Linked DNA regions of Yarrowia lipolytica. The protein of the gene in region 1 purifies or fractionates together with the protein of each later gene. This does not show direct contact. Links are inferred from orthologs where the notes say so. Each region holds a gene or a part of one and is shown in the gene's direction. Other genes may lie near its edges.

Region 1 (6,247 bases):
AGGTATATACCATAGAGAAGATACAAGTTGTACCATGAAGGAGACTGTTTGCGTTGTTAATATTGATACCTGTACGTGTAAGAACGAATGAAGCAGACGTTGCTACCCGAATATCTTTCAATATTCGTAGAGCCCAAGTACAAGTATACCCAAGTACAAGTACGCAGTACACTCTGATGTGTGTCCTGTCACCAGAACCTCACCCTTCGTAAACCATACACGTGACCAGGACTACGAAAGGCCGCTTTTTGCTCTCTCTCTCTCTCTCTCTCTCTCTGGAGATCAAGTCAAGAAAGAAAAAAAAGGCCAGATGTATTCCCTCTCTTTCATCACATCGCACCTCAGTATGCTTCCTAAAAGAATCGCACATAGCAATGCTCTCAAACAGGTCATCGACACTCAAAAATGCTCATGCGACAAAAATAAATATATCTGGCAAATCGTCGAACCCAGACAGCCAATTTGACATTGTCAGAATTCTATTTTAACACCTATCTCATCTTCTTTCTTCAACAGGTGACCTCCCCGCATGCACTTCCCAAACGAGCTTATCCGCCGATATCGTATGACGGAACATCCAAAAGAAGGCATCCGAGAGCTTAACCGAGTACTTGCACTTGTACCCCGCAAAATTCGATATCCCCATACGATACAGATTTTCGTCATCAGGGGATACAGAAATGCCGATACCGGAAGGAAAATTATATCTTTAGGGTCCCCAAGTTCCAAGGAGTACAAATATGTAAAAAAATCTGCAAAAGCTCCTCTGAAATGTCCATTGATGACACCTCTCTACTACCCCACAAAGTCGATCTCATGTACGCTAAACTCAAGGCTCTCTCGAGACATCCGCTTCTTCTGAGGTAAAAGCGCTCGATGTATATAGAACAAATGAGTTGAGTGCAAGTAGTGCTTCTTTCATCTTCACGGTCGTCACATCTCACACATCACACGCAAAATGAAACACTTCGCCAAAACGAATCTCGTCAATCTCTACCTCGAATCTCTCCTGGCTAGCAACCCGCAACTGGGTCTAGTGGAAGATCAGAGAATCATTTATTACAAGAAGAAAAAGTCGGACAAGGTCCGAGTTATTTCGGGCGGCGGATCGGGCCATGAGCCCAGCTGGAGCGGTCTTGTGGGCTCGGGACTACTAGATGCTGCTGTCTGTGGAGACATTTTTGCATCTCCTTCGGCCAGACAGGTTATGGCCGGTATCAGAGCCTCGGAACCCGACAGTGGCGTTATTCTGGCAATCACAAACTACACGGGCGACAAGCTGCACTTTGGACTGGCCCAAGAGAAGTTCCAGGCCGAGTCTGGAGGCATGCAGGTGGCAGTCATCCCTGTGACTGATGATGTCGCTCTCGGACGAACCCGGTCCTCAAAGGTCGGAAGACGGGGACTGGCGGGAAACCTGCTTGTTCTCAAGTCCATGGGAGCCTGTGCTGAGGCTGGAGGTTCCTTTGATCACGTCTCCAATGTAGGACGGGCAGTGAACGACGGACTGGTCACGGTGGGATGTTCTCTGGACCACTGCAGTGTTCCTGGTCGAACAGACGTGGACTTTCATATCCCTCATGACAAGGCTGTACTTGGAATGGGTATTCACAACGAACGAGGACTTGTTGAGGTCGACATTCCCGAACGGCCTGAAGATCTCATCAAACAGATGTTGACTCTTTTGCTAGACCCCAACGACAAGGAGCGAGCCTTTGTGTCCTTCAAGGAGAAGGACGAGGTTATTCTGCTGGTCAACAACTTTGGTGGGCTGTCTAATCTCGAGAATGGAGCCCTAACTCAAGTGGCCCTGTCTGTTCTGGAGCAGGATTATAACATTGTTCCCTGTCGAGTCCTGTCTGGAGCCTTTGAGACGTCGCTAGACGGCCCAGGCTTTTCAATCACTCTTTACAACCCTTCATACTCTGCAACTCTCGTTGAAAAATTATCTAGCAAACAGCTTCTAGAGCTCATCGATGCTCCAACTGATGCTCCTGCTTGGCCAAGGGTCGGTGTCAACGAGCCCAAGAAACAGAAGGTGCTCTCCAAGCAGGAGGAGCTAGCGGCCAAGGACTGCGAAGAGTCGCCTTATGACGAGCTTGTTTCGCGTATTTGCAAACATGTCATTTCAATCGAGCCTTCTCTCACCACCTGGGATACTGTAATGGGTGATGGAGACTGCGGTATGGCAGCCAAAGACGCGGCACTTCACATTCAAAAGGAGTGGAATTCCCGCAAGCAGTCTTCTTTAAAGGGAACTCTTAATCTCCTCTCGTCCTGCCTGGATGACATGGGTGGCTCTCTGGGAGCCATTCTGGGCATCTTTGTTAGTGCTCTCATCTACAACCTGCAAAAGGAAGGAGTTGAACAGGCTCCAAAGGCGGTTGGATTGGCTTCAAAATCTCTCCAGACACACACACAGGCTCGCAAGGGTGACCGAACGGTCATGGACTCTCTGATTCCCTTCTGTGAAGTCTACGCCTCGTCTGGAAGTCTTCAACATGCAGCCAAAGCCGCTCAGGAGGGAGCAGAAAGCACAAAGACCCTCAAAGCTCAGTATGGACGAGCCAGTTATGTTTCAAAGACCGCAGATGTTCCCGATCCCGGAGCCTGGCTGTTTGCCGCAGTTGTTGACCAGCTTTCCAAGTAGACGCGACACCAGCAAACCAAGCAATTTTGATATATTTGATGAATACGAAGTTATTAACTAAACGTCTAAGTAGTCCCAGGTAAACCAAGTAATCCCAACTGTATACACATCCTCCCACCTGCATCAAAGATCACGAAGTCTAATCGAAATTATTTTGAAATTTTCATCAAGCACACCACACCACAAGAAGACATGTCAGAAGTGAGTATGAGCGAGTCAAGAGCGCCAATTTGGATCCCACAATAACTAACCGAGCTCAAGAGAAAGACTCCTGAGGAGCACAAGGCCAAGAAGAAGGCCAAACAGCAGGAGTTTGAGTCCACCCTCACACCCAACCAAGAGAGCGAGCTCCAGACCACGACTCCCAAGGAGGCTCAGCTTTCTGTGACTCTCGTTGTGCCCTCCACTTGCATTTCAGAGACTGTTGTCAAGTCTTACCAACAAGCTGTCCACACTGCTTACCAGATTGCTCGAGCTGCGGTGGCCTACAACGTGGACGAGATTGTCATCTACGAACCCTCAGAGCGGCCCGACATCAAGCAGGAGAAGACCAAAAAGTCCGAGACTAGCTCGTTTGGAAAGCCCAAGATTGTCTTCAACTCTGACGCATCTAACGACCACAAGCCCGAGCTGTCCGAGCGAGCTGTGACACTGGCTTCTCTGCTGCAGTTTTTCGTCACCCCCGATTACCTGCGAAAGTCCATTTTCACCCCGGAAACCACTACAACCAACTTTGAGTACGCCAAGAAGCTGCCCAAGCTGCTGCTACCGTTCATGGAGTCGCGAGACGCCCGATACAAGGAGGGCATGTCGATCCCAATGATCCTCAACAAGAACGTCAAGAGCAAGATCTCCAAACAAAAGAGAAACGTCAAGAAGGCTGAGGCCAAGGGTATCGAGCTGCAGCCACCAACCGTTGATGGTGCCACTCCTTACATCAACATTGGCGCTGCAGAGCCCCACGAGCTCGAATATGGCCAGACCGTTCCTGTGGGCGTCAGAGTGACTGTGGATACCAAGGAGAACAAGGTTGTGTCAGCCACAGAGGCTTACGGACAAGATACCGGGTACTCTGTTCGTGTGGCCACCGACTTCTCTCACATCTTCACCATGCCCTCTACTCCCGAGGGATACGACTACACCGTGTGGTGTCCTGGTGGAGAGTTCCGACAGAGCGAGCTTGCACCGGAAACACAGCCCAAGCCCATTCTGGCCCTGCCCCGAACTGTCAAGCGGCCTCTGTTTGTGTTTGGACAGTGGGATCACGTCGAGGACGCCGTCAAGCACGACACTGCGCTTGGAGTGTCTGGAGCCAAGGAGCTGTTCGATAGTAAAGTGGATTTCAAGAGACCTGTTCGAGTGGAAGACGGAGTTTTTGTTGCTCTTGATCGGCTGGCATAGGAGGATGCGAGTATGGCTACTTGCACGATAGTACAAGTTTCTACGCGCGTACATGTGGTATGGGTGCATATAATGTATATTAATAACATAGATCGGTTAACAGTGAGTTACATGAAGGATGCAAGTTGATGGAGTAGAAATGGTAGGGACCCTAAGGGTTATACGACTTCTCGAGGATTAGAACACAGTGCCATCGCTCTGAATCTCAATAGGAGGCCCGCCGTTGGATCGCTTTTCCTTGGCAATTTCACGACCAGCCTTCCAAGTGCCAGCCTCCAAAAGTTGGGGCAACACAAGAGGCGTTTCCAGCATAGCATTGACCATGGGAAGAAGGGCATCCAGGAAGCCAACGGTAAGAGCTCTCCACTCGACAATCACGTCAGAGGAGGGCTCAAACTTGGGAAGGTCATTGGCACCACTAAGCGATTGTTTCAGTGCCTCAGGCTTGAGAGTCAGAACCCCGAAATCGACCAGAAGACCTCCGTTTCGGTACTCGGGTAGACCAGTAAGTTGCTCTTCTCCCACAAACTTGAGGCCTCCATACTCCTTCATGGGGACCAGAATGGAGTACGTCAGCCACTGGGTGAGTTTGTGGAAAGGCGTGACAGATCCAGCTTCGTCTCCTGAAGGGTTGGGGAGAGAGGAACATACCCAAGCGTCTCCCAGAGCCTTACCGTTTATCTTGAGTCGTCCCGCAGGCCAAATGGGGCCCAGGCCCTTCATCAGCGCCTCCCAGAGAGTTGCTATCTCGATGGGCTCTTCTGTGCTCTTGAGGTAAGTGATGAGATGACCTGGGCGAGCAGAGGGTCCAAAGAGCTCAGGAGAAGCGATGAGAGCCTTTCCTAGCCGGACGAGCAGATTGTACCGTCCCTCAAGGCCGTCCATCGGGTTCGTCTTGCTTACTTGGAAGCCATCACTGAGCTGGCTGAGGGTGAGCCTTTCTAGGCCGGGACCCGTCACAATATCGGGATCACCAAAGATTCCCGCGGCGAACATGTCGAGGGAGGCAATTGCGATTCCCTCGGATCGCCCTGTCTGCTCTCCGGAGCCTTCTGTGTACTTCCAGGTGGGCCCTGCTCCGGCATCCAGAAGCACAGACACCACAAACAGATCGACCAGTCTAGCTGCAACCTCGTCCTTGGAGACTCCTTTTTTCTCCCAGGACTCAATGAGGGGCTCCAGGCGTTTGTGACCCACGTCAAAGTGTTGCCATCGTCCGTGAGGGGGGATTCTGGAGGCGTCCGACTGGTAGTCTCGTTCAATGAGTTTATGGACGTACTCTGCCACGGCAGGTAGCTTTTCAAAGTCCGCGGTGAAGTTGGTGAGCTTGTCGACCTTGGCCTGGTTGAACACGGCTGTCGACCTATCTCTCACCGAGGGTAGTGTAAGTAGGTAGTCCATGATGGGGCGAACGAGTCAAGATGTGTGTGAGGAAGGTGTATGAGTTGGGGAACGTTGGGAAGTCAAGTAACAACGCACTGTAACGCACACGATAGTCACGATAATGCTTTCCTTTGAAGTGGCAATATTATCCGCCAATCAAGTTGTTGTGATGGTCAGAATGCAGGATGGCTCGCAATGAGAGATAAGGCACTGGATGCATTGCGTGCATAACTCTTATGCCGTCGGGCTCTCCGGAGGGGAAGAGGAGGTCATGTGGCTTCCAGGAGATGTACAAAGATGCAATTGACTTGCTGGAAGTTTTTTGTGACAATTGGGATCGATAAAGATGTGAAAGAAGCCTCTCTTACCCACAAAAGTCGCCACTAGGTCCCGGATCATCTCTCCTCAAGACAACAGGGTTCTGTCGTCTAACCACGTTGTCGCTTTTTGGGCTTATCGGTGGAACTTTATCTTGGTCCATTGATCCCCTTGGGGCTGGGGGCTGGGGGTAGAGTGCTTACAGTGGATGCGTGTTTGCTTCGTTTATATGGCGATTAAAAAGCGCATGGAGCTCCACAAGACCACTTGAATGGTCACACGCAGCAATCCAAGTTGAATGGTTCCTCAGACACGTGTTTCACCCTCGTACGGACGGATATTGCCACAATACATGAACTGCATTAAGTTCACCGGAGAAGTGATAAGCACTCGGTACATAAAGCAATGTGCCCGCCTGCCTAAAAGACCCACGTTATCTTACTCACGTTTACACCGTAAACCCTCCCCCCAGTTCTTTTCACAATGGTATACACC
Region 2 (5,483 bases), on another chromosome or scaffold:
TTGTCCAGCTGCTGCCTACCCTGCTGGCTGCCTCTGTTGATCTTCTGGCTTCTGAGGGCCATCAATCATGCATGTACGCAATGGACCTGTCCCAAATGGTTGTTCAAGCTACTCTTGAGTCTGATTCGCCTCTGCGACAGGTGCCTTTTTTCACTCCCGAAATCATCGACGATCTCAGGGGGGCGGGGGTTGAGGCAGTCGGAGACATTTCCGAGCTGGACGAGGACAAGCTCAAGGGCATTCTCAACTTTACTGCGAAGCAACTCAAGCGTGTCATTGACTTTGTGGACGCCTACCCAAGTATTCAGCTCAGCTATGAGCTTGCTGACTCTTACGCTACTAACGATGTCGGAACCATCGAGGTCACTGTGGAGAGAGATGTGTACGAGGAGGATGAGCGTGCTAATCTGGAGGTGGTTGCTCCCCTGTTCCCCCAGCCCAAGACGGAGAACTGGTGGATCGTGGTTGGAAATACCAAGACAAAGCAGATTTTTGGTATCAAGCGAGTCACCTTGCCTCTCGAGTCCCAGACTTTCAACATCGATGTCTCGTTCCCCGAGCATGGAGAGGTCAGTGGTCACGTTTGGTGCATTTGCGACTCGTATGTTGATGCGGATGCCGAGAAGAAGTTCACAGTGACTGTGGCTGAGGGTGAGGAAGCGGAAGAGGTTGAAATGGAGGAGTAAGAGGATGATCATAAATTATGTATATTATTATTGTATTGTATAACCTTGCATTGACTGTGCCTGTGGACTGCTCTTGTGTTTTAATTAAATAATGCTTGTTATATTATATGCTGCTACGGATATCTGTACGTACCGTTGTTATCGAGCAGCAATTTCTTTTTTGGCTTGTTCGACTTCTCTGAGACCCTCTTCAAGATCCTTTTCATCGATATCCATGGCATCCTCGGGGGCAAGTCGGTAACCTCCATCCTTTTTGGATCCCTGGTACTCCTGAAGCTGCTCCAATGACCACACTGAAACACCCTCCTGGTCTTCCTTGTTCATAGGCTGGGCCATAGTTCGCAAAAACTTCTTGGCTGCAGCTAGAGCCATATCTGTGGACAGATTTGTGTCAGCATCCAAAATGGCCTGGTTGATCCATTTGGGCAGCTGGTTTCGCTTCTTGGCAAAACGTCTGTCAGCCAACACCATGACACCGTAGTCATCTTTACCTCGCAAGACTCGTCCCAGACACTGGGCAGCATGGCGCATGGCATCGAAAGACAAGAAGTCGTTCTCTCGAATGTGGTAGTTATCTCGCAAAAACTCGAGACGAGCCTTCAAGATACGCGACTCGGTGTACTGAAAAGGAACACCAATCATAAGCACAGTTCTTCCAAACTGGTGGTCGAAATCGATACCTTCCGAAACCTTTCCTCGAGCGACACAGAGCATGACAGCGCCTCGACCGTTGGAGCAGGCAGTTCGGTAAGTTTCTAAGGCAAGAGAGGTTTCCTGAGCATCAGGAGTCTCGACCAGAATGAGTTTGTACTTCCACACTTCGTCCAGAATACCCATAGTCTGCCACATGGAAATGATAGACTCCATGTAAAGATATGAAGGGAAGAAGACGACAAGGCCATCAGGTGTGATCTTAGAAAATTCAATCAGAAGGTTACCGTAGTTTCGGACAACTGAAGGATCGTTTCGGATCTCGAATCGAGAACTGATGGCTACCTGGTCTGAACCCTTGGTCACAATGAGAGGACAGAAGGCTCGCCGTGCCAGTGTCATGGTGTACGACTCCTGAACCACAGTCTCGAAGTTCAACATTTTCGGGTACATATCTAGAGGGGAGATGGTACCGGATGTGATGATGATGCTTGAGAACCGATCAAAGACAGGCTTGATAGCAATGGAGGCGTCCAAACATGTAAGATGCAAAATGGGGTTAGGAACGGTGGCCTGATCGGTCTCAAAGGGCTCCAGAATGAGCTGGAAGCCGGTGTCGTAGGTAGACACCAAGGTGGCGAACACAGCAATCTCCTTGAGAGCAGTGTAATCATCGACGTGAGTCAACTCGAGGGTTCTGACCAGATACGATAGACGCTCAGCGCAGAATCGAAGAGGCTTTCGTTCAATGTATGTCAAATCTCGAAGATGTTTCAAGAACGATGCAGGGGTTTCGGAAATGACATGAAGCACCTTCATTCGACTCTTGAGATATTCAATGAATCGTTTCAAGAAGGCCACGAAATGTTCTGCCTTTCGAATGTTTCCAGGCACAGCTTCCGAAATAAGATCTTCAGGGAGCACAGGGTTAGCGAGAAACGTATCTTCTTGTTCTCCGGATTCCAGATCTCGCAATCCATCCACCAGTTTGTTGTATTCATTTTTCAATTTCTCAGAGTCGCTGGATCGGGCCTCACTGACCTTCTTGGCCAGATGGTTTGCTCCCCGAGTGGCTCGTTTCAAGGAGTCTTCAGTAATGTCGACAGACAGAGCCTCAATGCAGACGTTGTCGATATTATGGGCCTCATCAAAAATGACAATGCAGTCTTTGCTCAGCTCCTTGGAAACTCGGTCGGCGATCTTGGGATCGAGTAGATAATGATAAGAGTAGATGATGACGTTGCAGAAGGCCATCATTCGACGCACAGTAAAATAAGGACATGTCTTGTGCTCCTCGCCATACGCCAAAATGTCCTCAAAGGTGAAAACACCAGGTGGAATGTAGTTGTGAGGCTCAATGTCGTTCATGTTCTCGTGGTATTCACATAGAGTAACGTCTTCTCCTGCAGCCAGCTTCTGCTTGGCAATTCCAGATGTCATGGCTCGGCACTTCTCGTCGACAATGTAACCTTTCTTTTCGTATCGCACATTGGGATTCAGACACAGGTTCTTTCGTGAGGTCAGACCCAGCCCTCTAAAGTCCTCCTCAAAGCCTAGAGTCTCAGTTCGAAACTTCATGAGGTTCTTCAACTCAGCCAGAGCCTTCTCGATCTCCGACATTGTTCGGGAACAATAAATGATCTTTCGATGCTCGGGATAGTGTTGCTGGTACGCCACTGTCAGAGACAACAGGGAGACAGTCTTGCCTGTTCCTGAAGGCATTTCCAAGATGCAGTTGCCTCCCACGTCCAGGGTTTTCTTGATGTCGCACATGTAGGCATACTGCTCGGGATAGATCCGAGGGTATGGCCACAACACCGGCAGATCATCGATGTAGAACTTCATCTCTGGTGGTTGATCTGTCGCAACGAATGGTGCTACTGATATATCAAGGTTGTGTAATGCATGGCGTCGTGGTTAGGGTAGATTGTTTTGGGAGGAGCTGGGGATCTGAAAAATTTATCAGGAGTGTGTAAACGGCTCATAACCCAATAATGGTATCATTAATAGTAATCATGTCCGTAAGCTGTCTATCTGTTTACTTTTTAATTCTGATCTTGTGTGCATGTATTCCTGGATGCTCATAACCTCTGAACCCTAATAAGTTTTTTCAAGCGCTGTAGCTAAATTTTTTTTTCATCCTGCAGTCTCACACATCACACTACAACAATGGGCAAAGACAAGGGAGATATCACCGTTGAGATTGACGAGGTCGACAACTACGACGCTCGAATGGAGGCTCTGCTGCCCTTCGCCAAGCCTCTTGCCCCCAAGAAGCTCAACAAGAAGGTGCTCAAGACCGTGAAGAAGGCTTCCAAGGCCAAGCACGTTAAGCGAGGTGTCAAGGAGGTTGTCAAGGCTCTCCGAAAGGGCGAGAAGGGTCTTGTCATCATCGCTGGAGACATTTCTCCCATGGATGTCGTCTCTCACATTCCCGTTCTCTGTGAGGACAACGGTGTTCCTTACCTCTTCATCCCCTCCAAGGAGGATCTCGGAGCTGCCGGTGCTACTAAGCGACCCACTTCCACCGTCATGATTGTTCCCGGCGGAGGCAAGAGTAAAAAGGCCGACACCAAGGTCGAGTACAAGGAGAACTTTGACGAGATTGTCAAGGACGTCAAGAAGCTCGAGGATTAGTTATTTATAATGTACACTAGCATGAGAAAGGAAGGAAGAGGGTGTCAACTAATCTTGACAGTAGGGTCCGATGGTTAGGATAGTCGGACTAAATTATGTATAGAATGTTACCTATTCGATTTGTTGTTCGTAGTGGGATTGTCCGAGTGCAGCAGTACCTCCTTCAATGTCAGACGCTACAGTATGTACAAGTACCGGTACTGTAGATACTTCATACACTATTAAGGACTGTACTTGTGCTTTTTTCTGTATTGTAGTTGGATCCACGAGTGGAGGGCGTTGCTGCTGTAATATATCTTCTCGTTTCTTCATCAATAATTATCTAGATACTCTAGGGGCATGGTCTCATTACTTCGTCATCGGGCCTTGTCGTCTTAGTAGTGTCACCTTAGTGGTGGTGGTCCAACCACTCGAGAAAGTCGGGGGTAAAGTAAGAGATAAGGAGGTTGGCTCCGGCTCGCAGGTTACCGTAGGCCGCCTCGAAGGCCATCACCTCCAGATCAACAACGCCCTTCTCGGCAGCTGCGTGGATCATGGCGTACTCTCCGGAAACCTGGTAGGTAGCAATAGGCACGTCCTTGCAGATCTCAGCAGCGTCCACCACGATATCCAGGTAAAAGGTGGAAGGCTTGACAATGACGGCATCGGCACCTTCGGCCAGGTCTCGAGCAAGAGCTCGTCGAGCGAGACCTCGACCGCCAGCGGGGAGCTGGTATCGCTTTCGGTCTCCGTGGCTGGGAGCAGAGCAGGCAGCCTCTCGGAAAGGTCCGTACAGGTTTCCGGAGAACTTAGTGTAGCTCATAACCATGACGTTGTGGGCAAGACCGGCCTTGAGCAAGCCCTTTTTGATGTCGTGGATTCGACCGTCAATCATGTCCGAGGGTGCCACACAGTCAGCTCCTGCCTTGGCGTAATTGACAGCCACGGCAGCCAAACGTCGCACAGTTGTGTCTCGGATAACAGTTCCGTCCTCTCGAAGAACGCCGCAGTGACCGTGCGAGGTGTACTCGCACAGGCAAACGTCACACATGACAAACAGGTCAGGGAAGGCCTTCTTGAGAGCCTTGGTGGCCTGAATAACGGGTCCCTCGGGATCATCCGCAGCAGTTCCCTCAAGATCCTTAACACCCTCCTTCATAGGAACACCGAAAAGAATGACAGATCGGAGGCCCTTCTTGACCAGAGAGTCGACGTAGGGCACCAGCTTGTTGACGCCCCATCGCTTCTGGCCGGGAAGAGAGCTGATAGGAGTCTCCTCCTCGGGATCATCAGTGACGAAAAGAGGATAGATGAACATATCCTTGGTGAGGCGGTTCTTCTGCTGCCACTGTCGAGACAGAGGGTGGGCGTAACCGCCGCTCAGAATGGAGGAGATCTGGGTCTCGTGTTCTTCCAGGTACTCGGCTTTGTGGACCATGGTGGTGTGATAATGTGATGAGTGTGAAATTTCATGCACGTACACACTTGAGTTTGCGTTGTGGGGGAGTTTGGGACGGACAGCTCATTAAG

Evidence for each region.
Region 2: the proteins of YALI1_E24513g (region 1) and YALI1_F27667g purify together in Saccharomyces cerevisiae (affinity purification with mass spectrometry; 3 studies listed by BioGRID). This does not show direct contact. The link is inferred for Yarrowia lipolytica from reciprocal best matches to the Saccharomyces cerevisiae genes UPA2 and NHP2.

What each region holds. Positions count from the first base shown.
Region 1 is NC_090774.1:2,447,943-2,454,189, reverse strand, and holds YALI1_E24513g (uncharacterized protein), read left to right. Parts: upstream 1-2,842; coding exon 2,843-2,851; intron 2,852-2,905; coding exon 2,906-4,051; downstream 4,052-6,247. Other genes in the region: YALI1_E24532g (uncharacterized protein), read left to right, coding at 959-2,650; YALI1_E24487g (uncharacterized protein), read right to left, coding at 4,229-5,452; YALI1_E24479g (uncharacterized protein), read left to right, coding at 6,236-6,247.
Region 2 is NC_090775.1:2,763,210-2,768,692, forward strand, and holds YALI1_F27667g (uncharacterized protein), read left to right. Parts: upstream 1-3,506; coding exon 3,507-3,974; downstream 3,975-5,483. Other genes in the region: YALI1_F27574g (uncharacterized protein), read left to right, coding at 1-686; YALI1_F27663g (uncharacterized protein), read right to left, coding at 825-3,182; YALI1_F27686g (uncharacterized protein), read right to left, coding at 4,363-5,391. UniProt on the Saccharomyces cerevisiae protein: Non-catalytic component of the H/ACA small nucleolar ribonucleoprotein (H/ACA snoRNP), which catalyzes pseudouridylation of rRNA and is required for ribosome biogenesis.